2 linked regions of the Macaca fascicularis genome follow. The protein of the gene in region 2 binds, or shares a complex with, the protein of the main gene of each other region. Links are inferred from orthologs where the notes say so. Each region holds a gene or a part of one and is shown on either strand. Other genes may lie near its edges. The genes, in order: HMOX1 and POR.

What was found.
Region 1: the proteins of POR (region 2) and HMOX1 are in contact, whole or in part, in a crystal structure (PDB 3WKT), measured with the Rattus norvegicus proteins. The link is inferred for Macaca fascicularis from reciprocal best matches to the Homo sapiens genes POR and HMOX1. Residues at the interface, in NP_113764.1 of Rattus norvegicus: Thr88, Thr177, Asp208, Asp209, Arg313, Arg514, Lys515, Gln517, Arg519, Leu520, Phe522, Lys523, His626, Lys665, Met667, Thr668, Lys669, Gly670, Tyr672; in NP_036712.1 of Rattus norvegicus: Asp12, Ser14, Glu15, Gln38, Ala75, Pro76, Glu81, Lys149, Ile150, Lys153, Ser171, Asp173, Asn174, Thr176, Lys177, Phe178, Lys179, Gln180, Leu181, Arg183, Ala184, Arg185, Asn187, Thr188.

Annotation. Positions count from the first base shown.
Region 1 is NC_088384.1:16,285,583-16,290,032, forward strand, and holds the start of HMOX1 (heme oxygenase 1), read right to left. Parts: upstream 2,840-4,450; 5' UTR 2,758-2,839; coding exon 2,735-2,757; exon of another isoform or gene 2,534-2,734; intron 47-2,533; coding exon 1-46.
Region 2 is NC_088377.1:51,678,550-51,682,353, forward strand, and holds part of POR (NADPH--cytochrome P450 reductase), read right to left. Parts: intron 1,749-3,804; 5' UTR 1,745-1,748; coding exon 1,557-1,744; intron 1-1,556. UniProt on the Homo sapiens protein: This enzyme is required for electron transfer from NADP to cytochrome P450 in microsomes. It can also provide electron transfer to heme oxygenase and cytochrome B5.

The sequences.
Region 1 (4,450 bases), on a different chromosome or scaffold from region 2:
CTCCTTGGTGGCCTCCTTCAGGGCCTCTGACAAATCCTGGGGCATGCTGAGGAGGAAATGGGATAGGTGAACACAAAGCTGGCTGGGGGTGGGGTCCTTCCCAACTGCTGAGCTCAGGGGAGCCACCCACCTATAAGCAGGCCTCCAAGGACTCCCATTCTTATTCAGGCCACATTCCCAATCGCTTTAAGATGCAGCCTTGTGGCTGGGTGCAGTGGCTCACGCCTGTAATCCCAGCACCTGGGAGGCCAAGGTGGGCGGATCACCTGAGGTCAGGAGTTCCAGACCAGCCTGGCAAACATGGTGAAACCCCATCTCTACTAAAAATACAAAATTAGCCAGGCATGGTGGCGGATGCCTGTAATCCCGGCGATTATGCCTATAACTGCTTGAACACCGGAGGCAAATGTTGCAGTGAGCTGAGATCACACCACTGCACTCCAGCCTTGGTGACAGAGAAACTCCATCTCAAAAAAAAAAAAAAGAAAAAGAAAAAAGGCCAAGCATGGTGGCTCACACCTGTAATCCTAGCACTTTGGGAGGCCAAGGCGGACAGATCACCTGAGGTCAGGAGTTTGAGCCCAGCCTGGCCAACATTGGTGAAACCCTATCTCTACTAAAAATACAAAAAAAAAAAAAAAAAAAAAAAAAATTAGCCGGGTGTGGTGTTGGGCACCTGTAATCCCAACTACTCAGGAGGCTGAGGCAGGAGAATAGCTTGAACCCAGGAGGTGGAGGTTGCAGTGAGCCGAGATTGCACCACTGCACTCCAGCCTGGTGACAGAGCAAGACTCCATCTCAAAAAAAAAAAAAAAAGCAAAAAAAAAAAAAAAAACCCCAGAATCCACAACAACAAAAAAACAAATTCAGGCTGGGCATGGTGACTCTTGCAGCCTTGTAAACACTCTTCAGTCATTAAAACACTAGGCCAGGCCGGGCGCGGTGGCTCAAGCCTGTAATCCCAACACTTTGGGAGGCCGAGATGGGCGGACCACGAGGTCAGGAGATTGAGACCATCCTGGCTAACATGGTGAAACCCCGTCTCTACTAAAAAATACAAAAAACTAGCCGGGCGAGGTGGCGGGCACCTGTAGTCCCAGCTACTCGGGAGGCTGAGGCGGGAGAATGGCGTGAACCGTGGAGGTGGAGCTGGCAGTGAGCTGAGATCCGGCCACTGCACTCCAGCCTGGGTGACAGAGCGAGACTCAGTCTAAAAAAAAAAAAAAAAAATAGGCCGGGCGCGGTGGCTCAAGCCTGTAATCCCAGCACTTTGGGAGGCCGAGGCGGGTGGATCACGAGGTCAGGAGATCGAGACTATCCTGGCTAACATGGTGAAACCCCGTCTCTACTAAAAATACAAAAAACTAGCCGGGCGTGGTGGCGGGCGCCTGTAGTCTCAGCTACTTGGGAGGCTGAGGCGGGAGAATGGCGTGAACCCGGGAGGCGAAGCTTGCAGTGAGCCGAGATCACGCCACTGCACTCCAGCCTGGGAGACACAGCGAGACTCCGTCTCAAAAAATAAAAAATAAAAAAAAAATAAAATAAAATAAAATAAAATAAAATAAAACACTGAATAATACAGTCCCCCAAACCAAGGGGGAAATCCTGGTACCGGTAGTTCCCAGTGGAGAGGAGGAGGAGGTACAGCATAACCCAGGAAAAAGCAGAGGCCCCATGAACGCGCATCTCAAAGTTTGTAATTGTTTTGATTGGCTTTTAGACCCAATATTTAATTCAGTTATTTTGTTAAAGTTTCAGATGCAAATCTCATGACCCCCCTATCATGTTATGCTCATCATGAAGACGTCAGGGTTAAAAATTCTGAAAAATTCTGCTTTAGTTAAAGAAAAAATCTCTCCGGGAGTATTTCTGTCATGGGTCCGTATCCCTGCGTCCCCATAGAACTGTCATTTTTCCCTTTCCTCCCGCCCTGCTTCCCGGAACATCATCCCCTGTTCTACAACACAGCTGGTCCAATTCTTGGGAGAAGCGGCACACGCCTGTAAGTCCCAGTTAACTCTGGGGGCTGAGGTGGGAGGATGCTTGAGCCCAGGAGTTAAAAAAAAAAAAAAAAAAACTAAGAAATTCTTGAAAGAAGGGAACGAGCGAGACCTGGAGGTGGGCAGGCCAAGGTTCAACACCCAGTTCTGACACCTGCTGACTGAGTACTCTAGGGCGTGTCGCCTGCCTGAACTGGGCAATCCTTATTTGTGAGACGCGGAACAACGTAGCCAGGGTGATGTCTGGCTCAGGTCCTCCGTAGCTAGTGAGGGACAGATGCCACCAAGAGAACCAAGCATGCTCTCCCAGGCTAGCGGAGCCCCAGGGATCTAGATTCAGCAGACAGCAGCTCCAAGCACACCTCAAAAGTTGGATTAAAACAAAATTGACTCCCTCACAGGGAAGCCCCAGAGATCTAGATTCAGCAGAGAGCAACTCCAAACACACCTCGAAAGTTGGATTTAACAAAAACTGGCTACCTCAAAGGCTGGATACTCTAAGGACACTCCCATCTTGGTCCCCAACCGCATACCAGGGTGCCAGGCATGTAAATCACCGTTCCTCCCTCCAGCCACCCTACGGGCACAGGCAGGATCAGAACCCCGCGCCTCCTGACTCCAGGGCCCAAGTTTCTGGCTCCCGGGCTCTGTCGCTGCGTGGCAGTGTCCCGGGTGGGACTGGGAGGCCAGCTGGGAGGGGAGGGAAAGGCGCCCGTCCCGCGCCCCGCGCTTGCCTGTCGGGTTGCAGACGCTCCATCCGGCCGGTGCTGGGCTCGTTCGTGCTGGCTCCGCGGGCGGCGGCTGCTCTGAGGACGCTCGAGAGGAGGCAGGCGTTGACTGTGCCGGAGCCGCGACCGGTCACATTTATGCTCGGCGGGTCACGTGGGCCAGGCGGAACAGCTGAGGCCCACTTTCTGGCCGGGCGTTGCAACACCCGCAGGGGCCCGCGCCCAGCCCGCCCCGGGCCAGTGTGGGGTGGAGAGGAGCAGTCATATGACCCTGGGGAAACAAAGTCTGGCCATAGACTTTTAGAGAAAACACACACACACACACACACACACACACACACACCTTAAGGAAATCTGAGAAGCTGCAGCCTCTGGGTGTGATTTTGCTCCTTCCAGAGCCCCACCTTCTGCTCCCTGTCCCCTTGGGACTTGATGCACCCCAGGCATCCCAGAAGGTTCCAGAAAGCTGGGAGGCAGCGCTGCTCAGAGCAGGAGGCTGGTGGGTAACATCAGGAACTTAGCAACCCCAGACCCTGCTGTCTCCAGCTCCCTAAATTGCCACCTTCTGGAGTCCTCTGCTGACTGCTTGCCTCCTCACACCCCCTTTAAATGTACATTTAGGATCTGGTTTTTTAGTTCCTGTCAAAAAACAGAGACTCCAGTATTTTCATGGTTCATCCCTACAACTGACCTGTGGGGGTAGATCGCTCCCATTTTGCAGCTGGAGAAACTGAGGCTCAGAGGGGTGCAGTGGTGTCACACATAAAGCAGGAAGCCAGTGTCCAAACCCAGGGAGGAGACTAAGTCCCCGCCTGCCTCCTCCACACTCCGGCAGCACCTGGTGCCCGCCTGGACTGGGACACCTGTCATACAAACTGCTTCCCTGCTGGGTTGCGTGGGACACTCTTCCAGGCACATTCAGGTCTGACTTATACTCAGTGCCTGCTCAGGGCCCAGAGCAGAGCTGGCCCTTGCTGATCGCCTATTGAATCAATTCTGCATGAGGTGCACTGCTGAGAACTTGGGGAAAAGAGGGTCATTGGGTGAACCCAGAGGACAAAACAAATGGACCAGATGATTCATAGATTTCATAGAGTCATTTCCCAATGCTATGATTCTCATTCTAATGTTTTTTTGTTTTTTATAAGATGGCTTTCAGGCCTGGCATGGTAGCTCACACCTGTAGTCCCAGCACTTTGGGAGGTTGAGGTGGGAAGATTGCTTTGAGCCCAGTTGAGGTAGGAAGATTGTTTTGAGTTCGAGACTGGCCTGGGCAACATAGGGAGACCCTGTCTCTATAAAATAGAAAATAAAGGCCAGGCGCGGTGGCTCAAGCCTGTAATCCCAGCACTTTGGGAGGCCGAGGCGGGCGGATCACAAGGTCAGGAGATCGAGACCACAGTGAAACCCCGTCTCTACTAAAAATACAAAAAATTAGCCGGGCGCGGTGGCGGGCGCCTGTAGTCCTAGCTACTCAGGAGGCTGAGGCAGGAGAATGGCGTGAACCCAGGAGAGGCGGAGCTTGCAGTGAGCCGAGATCGCGCCACTGCACTCCAGCCTGGGCAACAGCGTGAGACTCCGTCTCAAAAAAAAAAAAAAAGAAAAGAAATTAGCTGGGCATGGTGGCACATGCCTGTGGTCCCAGCTACTTGAAAGGCTGAGGCTGGAGGTTCGCTTGAGCCTGGGATGTAGAGGCTGGAGTGAGCTGTGATCACGCTACTG
Region 2 (3,804 bases):
GGATTTGATGTGAGCTGCATGCTTCACCATGCCCAGCCTTGGAGAATGACTTTTCCATGTGGCTTGTTCCTCCCAAGACAGTCACAGCCTTGGACTGGAGCTGACATGACAGACGGACCCCACTGGTGTCAGCACCAGCCCGGGATGGTCCTGGGGTGCAAGCTAAGGCTGCAGCTGGGACTGGGTCCCCTGCAGGCAGACAGAATGAAAGGGGTTCTGGTCTGAGAATGGCTCCCAATCCTGCGCCTGAAGACCTGCCCCTTGCCAAATCCAGGGAGTCCCTGAATGCAGCAGGCCCGTGCCCCTGGAGTTCCCTCAGCCCAGACCTGACCTGGCAGGACCCCACTCAAACCTGGCCGCGGGCCTCTGCAGTCTGAGATTGGTGTTAAACACAGCCAAGCGTAACCACAGGAAGTGATTGTGGCTGCAGGACCCTAAAGTCTGGAGAATGACTTTTCCGTGTGGCTTATGGAAATCAATCTTGGAGACACAGGGATGCAGTCACTTAGGCAGACCTTCGGTATCATTTTTTCCTATCGACATACCATCTGTATTATTATTTCCTTAACGTTTTTCTTTTAACGAATCCATCTTTTTCACTTATTCTTAAAAGGAAGCTTCATGAAAAGTTTAAAAGAGCAACAAAATAAGGCCTGTCCAGAGATTTTGTGCTCATTAGCACACAGCGTTCCAGGTGGCTATAGCCTTAAAAGACTTTAAAATGTCAATTCTAGGTTGGGTACTGTGGCTCATGCCTGTAATCCCAACACTTTGGGAGACCGAGGTGTGCGGATCGCTTGAGTCCAGGAGTTCGAGACCAGCCTGGGCAACACGGTGACTCCCTGTCTCTATAAAAAAAAATATAAAACTTGACTGGGCGTGGCGGCTCACACCTGTAATCCCAGTTACTCAGGCAGCTGAGGCAAGAGAATCACTTGAACCCAGGGAGGCAGAGGTTGCAGTGAGCTGAGATCACACCACTGAACTCCAGACTGGATGACAGAACAAGACTCCGCCTCAAAAAATAAAAAATAAAAAATAATTAGCTGGGCACAGTGATGCACACCTTTAGTCCCTGCTACTTGGGGGGCTGAGGTGGGAAGATTGCCTGAGCCTGGGAGGTGGAGACTGCAGTGAACCTTGATCATGCCACTGCCATTGCACTGGGCAATACAGTGAGACCATGTCTCCAAATAAATAAATAAAAGGGAAAAAAGGGTTCCAGCTCTAGTGCTGCTATTGCTGGCTCATGACCTTGGCAGGCCCGTTAACACCCTTGAGCCCGAGGTTCTTAATCTGAAAACTGGTGTCATTTTCGGAATGCTTCCTCTGAAGGTCAAATAAACAGCAGATAGAAAAGGGCCTTATATAAACCCCACATAGGAGATGATTAAGGGAGAGCTGAAGCACAATCTAGCAAGAAGGCAAAACCCAAGAGTCGCCCCAAAATGCTACAAGGAACCTTGCTTCTTTCAGCCTGAGGCCCGTGGGCAGGACACTGCTCGGAGTGGTGACAGAAGAGGGACAGAGAGAGGAGGCTGAGAGGTGGCACTTACAATGTCTGAATTTTGGTGAACTCAGGGACTTCCTCTTTTTTCTTTCTAAAGAGGAACCAGTAGGTTAGGAGGCCCACGATGACTGAAAACAGAATCACGTCCGTCATGCTGAAAAGAGATACTTCTTCGGCCACCGCCTCGGACACGGTGGAGCTGGTGTCCACGTGGGAGTCCCCCATGTTGATCATGAAACTGTTAGGAGACAGAAACAGCAGACGTCAGCACCGGGGAGCAGGATGCCCCTGAGGCTGGCTGGGGTGCCCACCTGAATGCTGGGCCTCATGCCCCTGGGGCTGCAGAAAATGGTCACTGCACTGGGTAGGAGGAGCGGCTCACCAAGCCAGGTTCCTGCCAAGACAGCCACAGCCTTGGACTGAGGCTGACACAACAGACGGCCCCCAGTGGTGTCAGCACCAGCCCAGCGTGGTCCTGGGGTGCAAGCTAAGGCTGCCGCTGGGACTGAGTCCCCGGTAGACAGACAGAATGATAGCCACTGACTCAGTGTGCTGGAACTTCCTCCAATCCCACAAGGACACTGCACGGTGGCAGGAGGGAGTCCACGCGAGACAGGACCACTTTGCAGCAAACCCTTTCCCCAACTGTGTGGCTGGCTGGGGTTGTCCTAAATCCTGCGTGCTCCAAAAGTCTCCAGGCCTGGCCCTTGAGTGGTTCCTGATATTCACGAGCCTTGGACTATCCTGCCTGGCAAGAGTGTCTCTGTGTTCCTAAGACCTTGGGCTATGAAGACAGTTCCTGTTAACAATGAGATGTCTGGTGAATGCCCGCTTTCCTATGCCTGGGTGTCTTTTTTTGTTTGTCTTTTTTAAGAGACAGAGTCTTGCTCTGTTACCCAGGCTGGAGTGCAGTGGTGCAACCACAGCTCACAGCCTCAAACTCCTGGGCTCAAGTGATCCTCTCAGCCTTCCAAGTAGAACTTCTATGATTACTGGGGTGTGCCACTGCATTCATTTTTAATTTTTTTTCCTACTGACAGGGGCTTGCTATATCTCAAACTCCTGGGCTCAAGTGGTTCCCCTGGTTTGGCCTCCCAAAGCACTGGGATTACAGGCATGAGGCCCTGTGCCTGGGGTTTCGAATCGTGCTGTATCGGTCCGATGTCTGTGGGTACTGGAGATGGAATAAGCAAGCCTTCGGACCCAGACGCTCCACGCCTACACAACTGACCCACCAATAAAAACCCCGGAAACCTTGGCTTGGGTGACCTTCCGTAGGTGTCAGTTCTTCACAGGTGCTCTCACACATCGTTGCTGGGAGAATTAAGTGTGACCAGCAATGATGGAAACTCGTGTGTGACCACCTGGACACTCACGCCTGGCCTCTCCTGGACTCTGCCTTATGTGCCCTTGACCTTTCCTGATTTTAATTTGCATCATTTTGCTGTAATAAACTGTCATCGTAGGCAAAAAGCTTTCCTGAGTTCCGTGAGTCCTGGTGAATCACTGAATCAGAGGCAGTCTTGGGGAACCCCCATGTCACCAGCCTAGTTCCCTCGAAAGATGCTCAACTGGTCTTTCCACCACCGACACCTGATAGGCAGATCTGACATGAGTCAACAAAGGTCCAAGTGAGAGTCCCTGAAACAGCAGCTTCGGCTGCTTACCGAGGAGGCTGGGTTCAGCCCTGAAGTTCACATCATTCCATTTTGCAATCACGGAGATGACCGACTGGGTTTCTTTCACCACAAGCAGAGCACCCAGACTTAATCAGGAAAGCCTGAGTCATGTGTCAGCAATTAGGCAATGAAAGACCATGTTCTAGCTGACTGCCAATGGCTGTCACTGTCACCAGGAAACCACAGGGCTGGTCTGCGAAGCTAGGGCATCCGAGGGTTGTGGGCATCAGTCTACCCCTACACAACCTGCTGGGAACAGGCCATTCAGGACAGGCCCGTGAGCTTGGGTCTTTGCTTTCTCACTAATCTGAGATGCTTTTCCAATGGTTTGAGCTCATCTCAATTTAGCTTTTTTCTTTCTTTTTTATTTTATTTTTTTGAGATACAGTCTCTCTCTGTCGCCCTGGCTGGAGTGCAATGGCGCCATCTCAACTCACGGCAACCTCCACCTCCCGGGTTCAAGCGATTCTCTTGCCTCAGCCTCCAGAGTACCTGGGACTACAGGTGCCCGCCAACACTCCTGGGCTGATTTTGTATTTTTAGTAGAGACGGGGTTTCACTATGTCAGCCAGGCTGGTCTCGAACTCCTGACCTCAGGTCATCCACCCACCTCGG